4 linked regions of the Saccharomyces cerevisiae S288C genome follow. The gene in region 1 interacts genetically with each later gene. Each region holds a gene or a part of one and is shown on either strand. Other genes may lie near its edges.

Region 1 (6,035 bases):
CAACAAAAGGGTTGCCAAGATATCTTTTTAACGGTAGGGAATATGATTATTGAATGTATCAAATACGAACAACTTTGTAGGATTATATTAAAGGACCCTCAACTATGGAAATTCTTTGAGTTTGCGAAACTGGGTAATTTCGAAATCAGTACGGAATCTTTACAAATATTAAGTGCCGCATTTACTGCACATCCTAAATTAGTGTCTAAGGAATTCTTCAGTAATGAGATTAATATCATAAGATTCATTAAATGTATTAACAAGTTAATGGCTCATGGAAGCTACGTAACGAAAAGGCAGAGCACTAAACTGTTGGCCTCATTAATTGTGATAAGATCTAACAACGCGTTGATGAATATATATATCAACTCCCCAGAAAACTTAAAGCTCATAATGACTTTAATGACTGACAAATCTAAAAACTTACAACTTGAAGCTTTCAACGTATTCAAGGTGATGGTAGCAAACCCAAGGAAGTCAAAACCTGTTTTTGACATTCTTGTTAAAAACAGAGATAAACTATTGACGTATTTTAAAACTTTCGGTTTAGATTCTCAGGATTCTACTTTTCTTGATGAAAGAGAATTCATCGTTCAAGAAATTGATTCCTTGCCGCGTATAATTTCGTCCACAACAGAAGTTTCTAATAATAATGCATCCTCAAGTAACGTCGCCAGTATAACTTCTCCATCATCAGTAATGAACAATCAATCATCCATCTTAACACATTCAACTTCACCTGATTCAAGATAACTATAAAACTTGGTTCACTTTATAAAAAATGGAAAGTTCTCAGGCAGTGGGTCGTGACATGAATATTCAAAAGTAAAATTATATATAGGAAAGTGTTTATTTGCATAAAAAGGGAAAAATAGTTCAGACTTTTGTATTTTTACGTATTTATACAAAAAAAGGTTGGTACCGGAGGCTGAGGAAGCCAGTACAGTTGGATCCGGTACATGGAATTGAGCAATCAACCGTAAATATGAGCGCTTTCTCAAGATATTAAATTATTATAAAACAATTTATTTATCCAATTTATACATGATTTGGATCCTCCTTTGGCTATGTATGTTACCTCTCCTTTCCTTCTTCCTTTTTTGTTTTAACTTTTTTGTTCAAGCTTTTATTGTTTCTTAGTAAATTTGATGATGCTGAACTAGATGGTTGGGAAAATAGTGGTAATCTCTTACTAGTCTCCTGCCCTGTAGGTGATGTGATTCGCTGCCCTTTATTTGCATTAAACAATGCATTAGATTTGGACGTTTTTGGATCTTCGATCTTTTCAAAAAGATTCAGGTTAGTTTCTGATTTACGAATGATGTTGGATTCTTTAGCAATTGTCAGATCTTTCAACTTCCGCTCCCAAAGTGGCACCTGTTGATCCAAGATGGCATTTAGTTCAAGAAGTTTTTCTTCATTACATAACCTTTCCTTCGGGTTAAACGGTCCAAATTGGTATCCGCCTTTACCATCAAATTTTAACAGATAGTTATGAAAATGCCATAAACTTGTCCTGTGGCAAACTGATATTAACGAGATACCAAAATTTTGCGCATTTTCGTACATCCTTTGTTCCATTTCTGGGGCTACTGCAGATGTACATTCGTCGAGCACAGCAAACTTGGGTTTATGATAGTACATCCTTGCCATAGCTAACCTTTGTTGGACACCAATTGTTAATTCTTCGGACCAATTTCTTACTATACTGAATGCATCACGAACTTTAATGGCGCATGGTGACTGATTGTCTTCCGTCGACAACTGCTGTGAATCATTTTTGGAAGTCCTTTGCGCCAGCAGAAGTGACATATTTTCAGTGACTAAATCCTCCAAATCTAATAATTGCAGAATTTTTATTAAATCTGCATCGCCTAGATCATAATCATTGTGATATCTTTCTTTGAATTGTTCAATACTGTCTGGATAAATAATCTGTTCCCTGAATGTCGACCTATTGCCCATATACGGCCTTTGGGGTAAATAAAATATTGCGCAATCTCTATCCACAGTTCTACGCGGCATTATTAACTTGGATTGATGATTTTTATTGGGAGTCGCCCTTATCGGCCAAAGCCCGCCTAGAATACGAAATAATGAAGATTTACCGCAACCGTTGGGCCCAATAATTAGTAGATGATTTCCATGCTTCAGATCAAAACTTAGCTCCGGTACTAGAACTTGATTGGCAGGTGTTATTAAAGGAATATTTTCAAACTTTATCCTTGAATCATCATATTCCACTATACACCTTTCATCTCTTGGTTCTTTTTCGTCATCACCTTTATTAGCATCCAACAAATCATTGAACTTGTTCAATCTCAATCTGATACCGCGTAATTGTTGTATATTTCTCTTCAGTTCCACAAATCTTCCGATAGAGCTAGATGCAGTGACTAATAATCTTCTATTTGTGATGAAATCAGCCGTCATATCATTCCCGGGTTCCTTAAGCTGTAAGGTGTCTTCACTAGGTTTGTTTTTGAAAAATATTGGAATCGAGCATAGTACCAAGCCAGCTGCGCCCCAAGTATATTTAATGACAAATGCAGTAGCAACATCATAAATAGCTCTTGCCTTTATTTCTCTGTTTAAAAATAGCACCAAACGGTAAAATGAATAATCAACGTTTTCTAGTTCCCTCTTTTGCCCTCTTAGCAGTGCAATTTCTTCATTGCTTGAATGTAGATTCGAGTGTAAAGATCTGAACCAACTTTCCAAAGATGCGCTTGCCATAGTTAACCTAGTGAAATTCGGTTGAATCAATTTTAGTAATGAATTGGAGGCGTAGACAATTAAGCCCAGTGCCAAAGTTCCTTCACCCATAACACTAGTGTTTGAGGTTAATAATTTGAATGAACAGAGGATCAAATCCAGCATTGGCTTTAATAGCTGATTCAGTAATAATGACGAGTTCATTGAAAATGTGTAAATATCTTTTGTCAAATTATCCTGAATTTCTGAAACAGATTCAGCAGAAGCTACGGAATAGAAAGTATGGTGATTAGATAGATACTTTGAGAGTAGAAAGTCTGAAACTTTCCTATTAATAGTGACAGCACAAAGTTTTGTCGTGTAACTGATCAGTGAATTAATAAAACTGGCGGGAATTCCAAGGATCATCCATTTCCCCAACAATATCTTTGTGAAGTTTGCGTATTGAGCTCTTACTAGTGTGGACACTAATTGACCATCTAAAGTAGCCACACGAAGAGACAGCAATGTTCTGATGTTCAGAAGAATAGCCTGTGTAATAAATAAAATGAGGCACTTCTTATCATGAAGCAAAAGTTTGAACAAAAAATCTACCTTTCCTTTTCGCTCTCCCCCCTTATGATTAGTCTTGCTTTCTTTATCAATTATTATTGCACCATCTTCTGAATCTGTGCTATGTTTGGAGACTATCGTTAACTCTTCTTTGCTACTTTCATCTTCCTCTCTATCTACTGCGGTTTCTTTTCCCTCTTCAATTTTCTTATTTTCTAAAACCGTTGACTCAGAATCCTTCTTATCAGTTTTGTTGTTACTAGAACTGGAATTTGAATTGTAAAGCGTGGCTAGCAACAATATTATGTATGAAGAACGCAGTAAATTTACTCTATGCTTCTGATAAAATGCAGAAGCTGTTGAGATCATTATAAAATCTTTCTTCGGTAACTTTTAATTGTATTATTATCCCTTTTGAGTCTTTTCCATATTCAAGACGAACAAAATACAGATAACAATGTTGAAGACGTTTGTTTTGTACCGGATTGAGGACAAGATGATACTTAAATATAATATTATCTTTGATCGAGCAAAGCCATCAATATCATCATCTAACATTCACTTTACTCCACATTTCATTGCCGCCCTTAATCTTTCGGAGGGTGGTAAAAACTTTACGGTGATAGTTGTAATTAACGCCGAAGGAATATACATCAAAGACGAAAGAACATTAATTGCATATATTCCAAAAATATGAATAATTACCAAATTATTATTAATTTTTGTTTTGAAATTTAAATAAAGCTATTAAATAAGGATGATGGTGTGGTATGTACTATAATTCAATATAAGAGATTAAGATAACGCTGTAAATGGTTTGGTACAATTGAAAAAAAGTGATAGAGCATTTACGAAAAAGAAAAAAATTATGCTACCAAATGTGCATTATTGTTAACAGGTCCATTTGAATCTTTTGGTGTCACGTCGGGGTGACTTAGCTCTGTTCTATTACTCGTACTACCTGTGACATCTGTATTATTGGCAGAACTACTGTTGTCGATAGCGGTTATTTCATTACGATTCACCTGTTTTTCGAAATCAGCATCATCATCATCACCCAAGTTATGGTCGCCGAAACGGTCTGCAGAAATGGCAGAACCATCCCCATACGTGTAAATTTCGCCTTTCCTATTCGTCACAGATCCGGACATGTAACGACCACTCCGTCTGTTCCTCCACCACGTATAAATTATCAATCCTGTGGCGATAAAAGACAACGCAAATGCTGTCCATATCAGCCCTGTATAGGCGGGACCGGCTTTAAACACAACACCATATTTATCATCTGCCGTACCGCTCTTTATAATGGCAATCATAACGGATATGATAATGGCTGCCAATACAGTGGCTACACCAACGCAAACGTGTAGAGCTAGGGCAATGAGCCATAATGGTTGTTTGAACATATATCTGTTAAAGTACAGTAATATAATAAAAATCATGGTAAAGAAGGAAAAGATGATCGCTAAGAGGTTCAAAGCCAAAACAGACCTCACTGCTGGCACATATTGGTGCTCTCTGTGTAAAAGTTTCCCTTCTAGGTAAAGATCGTTGGCGCTAATATTCAGGGCGTTCAGATATGGTTGGAAGTCTGATGTGACTAATGCGTCATAAATAATCGATCTAAAATCCAAGTTTTGTACAGCATGTGGGGAGTTACAATCTAGGATCTTGTTTTCCAGGTTAGCATGGCATAGCGTGAAAATGGATAAGCGATAGTAAATCGGAATTTTCAGATACTCTAGTATATTCGGCGTCATGGCGTTCAATTCTTCTGCGGAAATCGGTTGGACGGATTTGGCATCCGCTAATATATCTAAAATGGGCAAGAAGGTCTGAGGGTTTTCTTGAGCCCAGGAAGTCAGCGTCACTAAAGATGAAAATGTTGTTTTAGGATCAGTGGATGCCCCTAAAAGACTGAAGAGATATGGAATGTACTGTACGGAGCTTGAATTACCGGATAGGCCCGATTGTAATTCGGACAAGATGGACAAAGTTTCGTTGGTGTTACTCGAGGAGCTTATCACATCATCTAATCCAATTAGCTGTTGAGTAGATTGAGTTGTATTTGTCACCGCAGCTAGAGATTGGACCGAAGTGACAACCATTGTCGAGTTGTCCGAATTTTCCATCAATTGGGTTAAGGCAGCAAACGCCTTTTTTGCAGATGATGACTGAGTGAGGTTTTGTTCCAGCAAATCAGATAGAGTGCTCAATGTCTGATTTGTAGAGGTGGTCTGGTTTAGCAGCAATTCCACTGCATCAAATGCGGGGGCGCTTGCCTGCGGCACTAGTGGTTGCAAAGTACTAAACGTGTTATTTAGGGAACCTCCGTTTGAAATTGTGTTTTGTAACTGAGTTAATAGTGTTTGGGCTAAAGAAGATGAAATAGTAGTGTTCATCAAGGTCGCCAGAGCCGTCATTGTAGCTGTTTGGTTCGTGGAGAAAGCGAATAGCCTGAATACCGGTAACAATTGCGCCTTTTCTGACATTGTCAGATTATTCAGAGTTAGCAATGCATCTGTGGAATTCTGTGGGTTATCGGAGTCTTTTAATAAGTCCAGAACCAAAGTAGTTGAGTCACTGGAAGAGTTAGAGCTTGCGGAAGACAGCGAAGCAGAAACTAACCTTGAGAGGCCATCTAGTGTTTCAGTTGCGTTGTCTGAATACTTCAGCAGCCCATTAATCTCTGTCAACTGCCTCGTGCTAGAAGCAGGATTGCCGCTGATCGCTAAGGGAGCCAATTCGGTCAATGATTCGATGGTTAC
Region 2 (2,930 bases), on another chromosome or scaffold:
ATGTATAGTGAATTGATTAGTTGGGAGGAGTCTGCATTCGTCTCCGGAGACTCGGGGTAAACCAGAAGTTTAGGAGGTAATTGTGGCACAGGCAAGCTGTTTTGGTATTTTATTGGTGCAATATATTCCTGTTTTTTGGACATTGTGACCCTTTATACTATTATGAGCACTGTTCTATTGTACTGAATACATTTCTGTCTATAATTAACAACGTATCAATAATGACAGTATTAATTCATCCAATGTTACAGTCGTCATTTTTTTCTTTTTCCATTTCAGAAAGACAAATTAAGTTATTCGTGTAATGTGATTATTATTTTAAAGCCCTTGTTTTTCTTCCCTACATAACAGCTCTAACCTACAAAATATTAATTATCCCTAAGCTTTTTCGAGATGTCCTTTTAAAATAGTAAGTTCAAGGTTAGGGTTCTCATTGCGTGTATGTATATGTATAACATATTGCATCGAATAGTAATTACATAGCAATAATAGCAACAACACTAAGGATCGGTGCTTTTCGTATGGTCAACTTCGATATCAGAAGAGTCGGAGTGTTCTCCTACGTCTAGTGCGGATTTATACTGGAATCTCGACAGCAAGCTTGCCACACTGCGCGTGGATTTATCATTTTGTTGATCTTTACTATCATCAAGAAGTTCTTCATTGTGTACGGGCTCTTCTTCTTCGGATACCTCGTCTTCTTCTTCTTCTTCCTCTACACCATCATCCTCATGCAATTCAGGCTCTTCTATAACAACCTCTTGATCGCTCCGACCCGGTTGCATGTTTAGTTCTCTCTTCTTGTCGAGTGCGCTATTCTTCTTCAGTTGTTTAATGGCATCCTCTAGAAACCTGAAATTATCTCTTTTTTCGACACATTCTTCTATAGAATTTAGGCTTAATCGTAGGCTTGTCTTTCCTTTCGAATTCAGTTGTGCTAAGACCAGCGATTCTTCGACGAGATTCTGTACAAATAACTCAGCAGCGAATGCGGTCGCTGATATAGCTACATTAGATGTAATTACGTATTCGGGGTCGCATTTGGCAATCTTCTTTACTTTAGATATAGGAAAGACAGGTGCTTTTTCTTTAACTAAGTTGGACATTTTTTTTGCAACACGGTTGACCCTTGCTTGTTTTTATCTGTTGGGGCAGGCAGTTGTTAAGGCCATTAATTTCGCGTAATAAAAATAAATTATTACTTCAAAAGCATCATGGAAACATAATTGCAAGAGTTTTTAAGGTTCAAAAAGAAAAGTACAAGAAGAAGTAAAAAAGTGAAAAGAAACACCAACCATAAAAGAGAGATTGTCATTGAGGTAGAAGGGGCGGGTATAGAAAACTAGAGCAACAACCATGGTTTTGGAAGTGCCCTCAATCACACCTGGTGAACTGCATGATCTTATGCGACTACATCAGGATGCAGAATGGCCTGAATGTAAAAAAATGTTCCCCTGGGCTCATGATATTTCCTTTGGTCAACCACCCGATTTTCCTCATTCTCTTGCAATAGTCAAATCGCAATCAGATGCTAACAATTCTGCGCTTTTGCGTAATTCTCTCGAAGTGAATGATATCTTCCAGTCCTGGAAAGTTCGCACTTCCTTTCATAGAGAGGGCGATACCTGTGAAACTGGAAATGATTCTAATGGTTTTCAATATCCCAATAACACAAAGGAACTTTTGAACTTGCTAAAGTTTCAGATACGACAATTGGAATTGCAAGTGGATGATGTTGCTTTGGAAAACGCTGCTACTTATTGTCACAATCATAGCATTTTACCATTTCTGAAAGTAGATCCTCGTGGACTATCATTAGAACTTAAAAGGTATTCTAGAAACAAGGTTGGGTCTAATACCACGCTAAAACGGAGTGGGCAGGACGTCTGGGGAAGGAGAGGTCTATTCCGAAGGTTCGACCTGCAATGTGCCAAGATGATAGAAATGGTTGATAATATAGTAATTTATTGTTCGCGGACTGGTGGCAGCACTGATATGCAAACAGAATCAGCGCCAGCGTGCTCACACGAGGGAAATTGCCCCAATTGTACAACCCTTGCACTACTTTTACAGATCTGTTTAATGTTTGTTCAAAAGGGTTATGTAGGGAGTGGAGGATCGCTTTACAAGACGAATCTTTTTATTTGCACTTATCAGAATTTCAATACAGATATACCTCAAACTTTGATTGGTACACCTTTATTAGACAACGAATTTTTCAAGAATAATACTCCCTTGAATTTATGTTCGTCACCTAGTGAAATAGTGTGTTTCAATAACGTTGATAAGAATATGGTTTTGTGCGAGAAGTTAGAGTTGAATAAGCTGACTTCAGCTACACGATTGGAGGAAACAGGGTTGATTTGCGGTAACACCACTGATTGGCATAATTATCAAATAATTAAAAAAAACAATATATCTCTGACCCACCGTTTCGAAGAGAATACAAGCATAGTAAATTTAAAGTCTCTAAATTATGATACGGACAATCCGACAACCTCCATTTCTCAACTGTATAACATACCGAATACAAAAGAGGTGTGGAAATTGATCATAAAATGTACGTCAAACTCGCAAATGCCGTCGTTAACGAAAATCCGAACATATCTAGATCTTTTATTAGACGATGATGCGTCAAAATCACAAGAGCATTTGCATTTGACTTTCCCTGCCTCAGGTAGTATAGGTTTGGGGAACTTAAACATTCAGTCTGTGGAAATTCTTTTGAATGTTTGTTATTTAATATTTCAAGTATCCCAAGTTCAAGAATTATTGACGTTCATGTATTGCGAAGACGGATATACAGAAACGTCATTATTATTAACAGCTTATATTATATTCCACTTTAATATTCCGTTACAAGACGCTCTTTTGAGGATCCATCCAAGACCATTTTTCCTTTTTCCATCAGACTTGCAAATTTTAGGCCA
Region 3 (4,007 bases), on another chromosome or scaffold:
CATGGAATATCCTGCGTATGGTACCATTGTACCGCCTAATGACACATGAAGGTCATGAAGAGCAGTTTTTTTCAAAGTTGAGTTGAATCTCTTAAACACAATTTTTTTGATTATAGACATTATTGCTTGTGCCAGGCAAAGCTCTTTCTACATATGTGAGCTACGGGTACTGTAATTGGATTTGTTTGGGTTCAAGGTGCTATATATATGATATTTGGACCTATTCTTTTTGACATACCGTTTACTCGAGGCAACACGAGTCAGGGCTCCTGAGCAGAGTCGCCCTGCCGAAAGAAGTCACGGCGATGAACAAAATAGGTGATATCTATGACCAGCTCTAAGTAAGAACTCAGCTTCCCGTGAGCATGGTTCTAATGGAGTAAAAGCGCCCATCGAGATCCAAGAATGCAAAAAAAAAATCAATAAGCTTGTGTGGGTAAATACGGATGTTAGTCGCATCGAGCCGATTAAAAGTGGCGCAGATATAGAAGGCAAGGACCTCATGACAGATCGTAATATCTATCTTTCTCCAAGTCCATTGTTTCAGCTTCGAAATCCCATAAACGTGGGCGTATTTTGTTGTTCGTATTGTTGCCTTCTATTTGGCTTTTGGTATCTTCGATTGCTTTAACTATACCGTCCACGAGGACTGCGCGCCCTAGATTTTCATTTGTAGAAGGAATGATCAAATCTGCAAAAGTTCTAGTGGGCTCTATATATTGTTGCATCTCCGGGCGCAGATGGTCCATATACTCAGTGATCAACTGGGCTAGTTGTTCATTGCTCCCTACGTTCTTCTTCTTGATTAGACTAATTAATCTTTTATCTGCATCACTATCCAAGAATACTTTTAATTGAGATATTTCGTTGATGCGTTTATCGTATAGCGCATAACAGCCACATACTATTATCAAATCTATCGGGTCCTCGTAATCATGTTGAATCATGTCATTTTGAGAAGTTACAGCGTGCTTTTCATATACCAAATTAAGGATATTATCAAAATCATAGTCGTTATTATTGTAGCTCTTGATGTTCCCTTCTATCATATTATCTAGGTTTATTACCCTTATATTGATAGAGTTATATAGGCTTTTGAAAGTATTTTGTAAATCCAGTGCAATTGCTCCAACACCAGTAGCATGCCCTCCACCGATAGAAATAACAATTCTTTTTTCTTCGACAGCTTTTCTGTCCATTTCCTGTAATATTTATCTCGCTAATTGTTAATGCAGGAAACGAAAATTAAAAACGATTTCCCTTGTGGTATGCTCTAGGAAAAATGTACAGATAAATTGAATTATCCGTGATGGCAGCGTACAATCCATAGTTGCTTACTATTTGATCTGCTTTTTCTATCAGTGTCGAGAATTTATGCCGAAGTTTGAAAATTTTATTTTATGCGATGAGCTAGATAATAGCAGGGCCCAGACAAAATAAAAACATGAATTATACACAAATTTTAATATAAAAGGGCCACCACTCCTTCAAGAGGTATAAAAATTTGTTCACTCAAATAAAATAGACCGTACAGAAACAAAAAAAAAACTCATTAGACATGTCGTTTGACAGAGAAGAAGACCAAAAATTGAAGTTTAAAACATCGAAAAAATTAAAGGTGTCTTCTACTTTTGAAAGCATGAATCTAAAAGATGACTTACTTCGAGGAATATACTCATACGGTTTTGAAGCACCATCCTCTATCCAATCAAGGGCTATTACACAGATTATTTCGGGCAAGGACGTTATAGCACAAGCACAATCAGGTACAGGTAAGACAGCAACTTTTACAATCGGCCTTTTACAAGCTATTGATTTAAGGAAGAAAGATTTACAAGCTCTAATACTATCTCCAACACGTGAATTAGCAAGCCAAATTGGGCAAGTAGTAAAAAATCTAGGGGATTATATGAATGTCAATGCATTTGCCATTACAGGTGGTAAAACTTTGAAAGACGACCTGAAGAAAATGCAAAAGCATGGTTGCCAGGCCGTTAGCGGAACACCAGGAAGAGTATTAGACATGATTAAGAAACAAATGTTGCAAACAAGAAATGTTCAAATGTTAGTTTTAGATGAGGCTGATGAATTATTGAGTGAGACACTAGGTTTCAAGCAACAAATATACGATATTTTTGCAAAATTGCCTAAAAATTGCCAAGTTGTTGTTGTCAGCGCAACAATGAATAAGGACATTTTAGAAGTAACCAGAAAATTTATGAATGATCCAGTTAAAATCCTAGTGAAGAGGGATGAAATATCACTTGAAGGTATCAAACAATATGTCGTTAATGTTGACAAAGAAGAGTGGAAATTCGATACTCTGTGTGATATATACGATTCTTTGACCATTACACAATGTGTGATATTCTGTAACACCAAGAAAAAAGTAGATTGGTTATCTCAGCGGCTAATCCAATCAAACTTTGCTGTAGTCTCCATGCATGGTGATATGAAACAAGAAGAAAGAGATAAAGTAATGAATGATTTTAGAACAGGTCATTCTCGTGTACTGATATCGACGGATGTTTGGGCGCGCGGTATTGATGTCCAACAAGTTTCTTTAGTCATTAACTATGACCTACCAGAAATAATAGAAAATTACATCCATCGTATCGGTAGAAGTGGTCGATTTGGTAGAAAGGGTGTGGCTATAAACTTCATTACCAAAGCTGATTTAGCAAAACTTAGAGAAATTGAAAAATTCTATTCTATCAAAATAAATCCGATGCCAGCAAATTTTGCAGAATTATCATAAAATATAGAGAACATATACCTACATAAACAAGTTAAGAGAGTCTCATCCATGCGGCTTCATTTTTGCTTTCATACGGAATTGGAGAGCATTTGTAATTGTTCATTTTGTGTGACGTAGAGTTTAATTAAGTCATTCAAACTCAAATCGCGAAGAAAAGGAGACAGATCGCAAAATTGTGAAATTACATCGAGCTCAATGTCCGAGTCCACTCTGAATCTATCACTGTCAACGCTAAGTTCTTCCTCTTCATCATTAGATTTATCATCACCATGTGATGATAATGTTCTCATTTGGTTTTCCTCCAAGCTGAGACTATTTGTCCTATGTGACAAAAGCTCATATTGGTCGCTGATTAGTGTGATATCCTCAAGAGATCCCGATTCATCCAATTGGACAATTATGACATTTTCAAGTTCATCTCCGACCTTATCTATTCCTGCTGTCAAAGCAGCATCACTTGAATCTACTAGTTCATCATTGTTGTCCTCAAATATGTACTTAATGTTAGTGGGAAACATTGCATAATCACTTCCGTCCGTGCTCTTTGATTCATTATTGTATGCTGGTTGATCATCGTTGCTGGGACCCTTGTTATTTTTGATATTCTCTTCTAATCTGTACTTGACATTTTTATCATAAACAGTAACTGTAACATTCATTCCTGTTCGCAGATTTCAGCAATGTTTACCGGCTTAATAAGAAAATGGGAATGCGACGTTTATCTTGGATATTGACCACCCTTATATTATGGATATGTACTTCAAATTATTATCTTTTACGATAAAAAAGATTCTGATCCAACCGAGGTTCGAACTCGGGATCTTCGCCGTGTAAAGGCGACGTCTTGAACCACTGGACCATTGGACCGGAAACCCATTGGAAATGACTTAATCCCAATATCGCTATATTAAATGTAAAATAACTTTTTCAGGATAATCCACAAGAGTGGTGCTTCTGTCATTAAACTAATTTTTTTAAGGCCTGTTCGCCTATTATATGTCGAAAGTGTGTATTTCTTTCAAGTTATGCCTGCAATTCAAAGGACAGATTTATTTTACAGTGTCGACGACACCGTTTGAAAATGCAGATGCAGGACTGGGCACGTTTTACAATACGTATCGAGTCAAAAATACACTGATTTTGGTGATATTAGCTGCAGCATGGCGAATTTTTCACATATTACTGATAAGGATGGACATTATGTTTGACTTTTTTCCTTAGAGTAAGTATGGTCAGCAGAACAAAAAAG
Region 4 (4,009 bases), on another chromosome or scaffold:
AAAGCTAATATATGCCTAGCCAAGAATGATTTAAAACAAATTGTTCAAGAATATGATAGTTTACAATCGAAGACGCTCATTAGATTTTCTAGTGGGCAATATAGACATATTTTGCATGTTAACGGCCAAAAGAATATTATAGGACAAATCGAAAAGAACGAAAATGTTTACATAATGATACCGTTAAAAGAGCCCTTGGATGGAACATCTCAATTGAGTATACAAGGAAATGATGAGAATGCATCAAGAGCCGCTAACGAATTGGTTAATAGTGCGTTTGGTTATGAATACGAGTTCAAAATAGATCAAGAGATAGATCCCAATAAAGAATACGAATTTTATAACCTAATTGTTGTTCCATTTTTGCAAATTATGAACATAATTGTAACTTTTGAGAAGGACCTTATCACTTTTACTTTTGAAAAGGATACTAATGAGAATACTCTAACAAAAGCAATCGAATTACTATCCAATTATTTGGAAACACAAAAGACGAAAATAATATTTAAAAAAATAATTAAAAAATTTGTTCTAGGGTCTGCCTCCAGCAAGAGTAACACCAGTAATAGCAATACCAATGGCAATTTCAGATCAATGAATAATGCCAAAAGTCGTACGACCATCGATAATACCAGCCAATCAGGAGCCTCACCACAACGCCACAAAATGCCTGTTATAACGACGGTAGGAGGAGCCCAAGCCATCAAAGGATATATACCAAACACTTATTACAACGGATATGGGTATGGATACGGATATACATACGAGTACGATTATAATTATGCCAACTCTAATAAAGCTCAAACCAATAATAGGCATAAATATCAAAATGGCAGAAAATGAGAAGGAAAAAAGTTCAGTAGTATTGTAACGTTCTACGCACCTTTTCAATGGATATGCACACCACAAAATATGTCATTGCGCATATCCGCATCTATTACAGTATTTGATTGATATTTTACCATACATACTAAAAAGCTCCGCTCCGCTCCTCTTTTACGATAATGATCTTTATAACCTTGTACCTAATGTCTCATTGAGATATATCAATGTTGTATCGAAATCACTAAATACTTTGAAAAGCGGAATCTTTTTCTTTTCGGTTTTATTTAGCTTAGTTAGCGGACTAGAAGTAGTTTTCAAATGAGAGAATTTGACGTCAAGCTCATCATGGCCTATTCCTCTATGCAAAATCGATCTGTACTTTTCATATTGCATTGTTAAAAGGTTCTTTAAAATTTGCCTGCAATATGTGTTGTCCCTTGCAATATCCCACTTTTGAACTTTTGTTTCGGGCAAGTATGAACAGCTCTTCAGAACAAATTCCAAGGTTCTTTGCATCTCAGTCACGGGGAGTATCCTTTCACAACATTTCGTGTTGCTGAGAAGCTCAAGATTGATTTTCGACCTCAAGCCATCAGGATTGAATACCAAGTATCGTTTGAGTTCGTAGTTTTCTTTCATAAACTTATATCGAACATAATCCCTGTAAGTATCTTTAACCATTTTCACATTCGATATGAAAGGCTTAAGCCTCATAAATCGGCGGTAAAATAGCTTAACAACTGTACTTCTCTCAGGTGAGTCTGCATCTAGCTTTTGAAAACGTGAAGGAAGTTGGTATTTAGAATGCGATTTAATAAGAGTATAGTCTGGAGTTATAATAGCTTTTGCTGTTGTTATCGTAATAGAAGGCTTACGCATTGTGTTATCCGCTTAACTGCGATTAACATGCATACGTATGATATACTCGAGCTAGTCTCATAAGCTTTCTTCATATATGGTTGTCATGGCAAACTTCGATGTTCGTCGATAGTGACAGGTTCCAAAATTTTTCATTCAGCTCATCGCATATTTTGGAAATTCAAACAATGATTAACAACCGATGTGTGAATTAATCTGCGAGTCAGTTAGAATAAAAGATCATTAGGGCCGATAATAGCTACGTGGTGGGAAGGCTGGAATAATGGTTAAAGTAAAGTCGAAAAAGAACTCATTAACAAGTTCTCTAGATAACAAGATCGTCGATCTTATCTATCGTCTCTTGGAAGAAAAAACTTTGGACAGAAAAAGGTCTCTGAGACAAGAATCCCAAGGAGAAGAGGGCGAGAACAACGAGGGTGAAGAAGATGAGGATATATTTGAATCCATGTTTTTCGCTAAAGATTTAACAGCAGGTGAGATTTTTACCTTTTGTTTGACTAAAGATTTATCACTTCAAAGAGTTAAGAAAGTTGTCTTACAAAAGACAATTGACCGCATGCTAAAAGACGTGATTGAATCAGAATTGGAAGAATTTGGTTCTTACCCAGGTTACAACAACGAAGAGGAAGAGAAACCAAGCTTGGAAGAAGAACTAGCTAAGAAAAATATGATGATTGAGCGAGACACAAATGAGATGAACAAACGCATAACTAGCACGTGGTCCAAATCTGGATCTGTTTCCGAGTCTATAACAGAAACTGATGATCCTAAGACAGAAGAGGTTAAAAAATCTAAAAAAAGATCCAAAGAAGGTACATGTAAGGTAAAACGTCAAAAAATCAAGGAAGATAGATCTCCACCTAATTCGTCTCTGAAATCCTTAGGTGGTATGGATGATGTCGTTGCACAACTTATGGAACTAATAGGTCTACCCATTCTTCATCCAGAGATATTTTTATCCACGGGTGTCGAACCACCTAGAGGTGTTCTGTTGCATGGCCCACCGGGTTGCGGTAAGACGTCGATTGCTAATGCGTTAGCTGGAGAATTACAAGTCCCATTTATATCTATTTCTGCACCTTCAGTCGTAAGTGGTATGTCTGGGGAAAGCGAGAAAAAGATTAGGGATTTGTTTGATGAAGCGAGAAGCTTGGCACCATGTCTTGTTTTCTTTGATGAAATAGATGCCATTACACCAAAACGTGATGGAGGAGCCCAAAGAGAAATGGAGAGAAGAATAGTTGCCCAATTATTGACCTCAATGGATGAATTAACGATGGAAAAGACAAATGGAAAACCTGTTATTATCATAGGTGCCACGAATAGACCTGACTCTTTGGATGCAGCATTGAGAAGAGCAGGTAGATTCGATAGAGAAATATGCCTGAATGTCCCGAATGAAGTCTCAAGGTTACATATTTTAAAGAAAATGTCTGATAACCTAAAAATTGATGGTGCTATCGATTTTGCCAAATTGGCAAAATTAACCCCAGGCTTTGTTGGCGCTGATTTAAAGGCTTTAGTTACTGCTGCCGGTACATGCGCTATTAAAAGAATTTTCCAAACCTATGCTAATATAAAATCCACACCAACTACGGCAACGGACAGTTCAGAAGATAACATGGAAATTGATGAAACAGCAAACGGAGATGAATCTAGCCTGAAGAACACTGCGAATATGATCGATCCGTTGCCTTTATCCGTAGTCCAACAATTTATTCGTAATTATCCTGAGCCTTTATCAGGAGAGCAGTTATCATTATTATCGATTAAGTACGAAGATTTTTTGAAAGCGTTGCCAACAATTCAACCAACAGCAAAGAGAGAAGGGTTCGCTACGGTACCTGATGTTACTTGGGCTAATGTAGGCGCATTGCAAAGAGTTAGACTTGAATTAAATATGGCTATTGTGCAACCCATCAAGAGACCAGAGCTTTATGAAAAAGTGGGAATTAGCGCCCCTGGTGGTGTTTTATTGTGGGGACCACCAGGTTGTGGTAAAACGTTACTAGCAAAAGCTGTTGCCAATGAATCTCGTGCAAATTTCATATCAATCAAAGGTCCTGAATTATTAAATAAATACGTTGGTGAATCAGAAAGGTCCATCAGACAAGTTTTTACTAGAGCAAGGGCGTCTGTACCGTGTGTTATATTTTTTGATGAACTGGACGCTTTGGTGCCAAGAAGAGATACTTCTTTGTCCGAATCCTCCTCAAGAGTCGTCAACACTTTGTTAACGGAATTAGATGGGCTGAACGATAGAAGGGGAATTTTTGTGATTGGCGCCACTAATAGACCTGATATG

Evidence for each region.
Region 2: mutations in PXA2 (region 1) and DPB3 together harm fitness more than expected from each alone (negative genetic interaction), as found in Saccharomyces cerevisiae (2 studies listed by BioGRID).
Region 3: mutations in PXA2 (region 1) and DAS2 together harm fitness more than expected from each alone (negative genetic interaction), as found in Saccharomyces cerevisiae (one large-scale study listed by BioGRID).
Region 4: mutations in PXA2 (region 1) and IRC19 together harm fitness more than expected from each alone (negative genetic interaction), as found in Saccharomyces cerevisiae (one large-scale study listed by BioGRID).

What each region holds. Positions count from the first base shown.
Region 1 is NC_001143.9:85,151-91,185, forward strand, and holds PXA2 (ATP-binding cassette long-chain fatty acid transporter PXA2), read right to left. Parts: upstream 3,637-6,035; coding exon 1,075-3,636; downstream 1-1,074. Other genes in the region: HYM1 (Hym1p), read left to right, coding at 1-753; FAT3 (Fat3p), read right to left, coding at 4,134-6,035.
Region 2 is NC_001134.8:758,470-761,399, reverse strand, and holds DPB3 (DNA polymerase epsilon noncatalytic subunit), read right to left. Parts: upstream 1,107-2,930; coding exon 501-1,106; downstream 1-500. Other genes in the region: PAF1 (Paf1p), read right to left, coding at 1-143; tyrosine/serine/threonine protein phosphatase PPS1, read left to right, coding at 1,357-2,930. UniProt on the Saccharomyces cerevisiae protein: As accessory component of the DNA polymerase epsilon (DNA polymerase II) participates in chromosomal DNA replication.
Region 3 is NC_001136.10:485,246-489,252, forward strand, and holds DAS2 (putative uridine kinase DAS2), read right to left. Parts: upstream 1,200-4,007; coding exon 501-1,199; downstream 1-500. Other genes in the region: GCV1 (glycine decarboxylase subunit T), read right to left, coding at 1-120; ATP-dependent RNA helicase FAL1, read left to right, coding at 1,559-2,758; ATG31 (Atg31p), read right to left, coding at 2,827-3,417. UniProt on the Saccharomyces cerevisiae protein: Putative uridine kinase identified in a screen for mutants with increased levels of rDNA transcription.
Region 4 is NC_001144.5:71,104-75,112, reverse strand, and holds IRC19 (Irc19p), read right to left. Parts: upstream 1,705-4,009; coding exon 1,012-1,704; downstream 1-1,011. Other genes in the region: YLL032C (uncharacterized protein), read left to right, coding at 1-843; putative AAA family ATPase RIX7, read left to right, coding at 1,967-4,009. UniProt on the Saccharomyces cerevisiae protein: Involved in sporulation and maintenance of the mitochondrial DNA. Is probably involved in a pathway contributing to genomic integrity.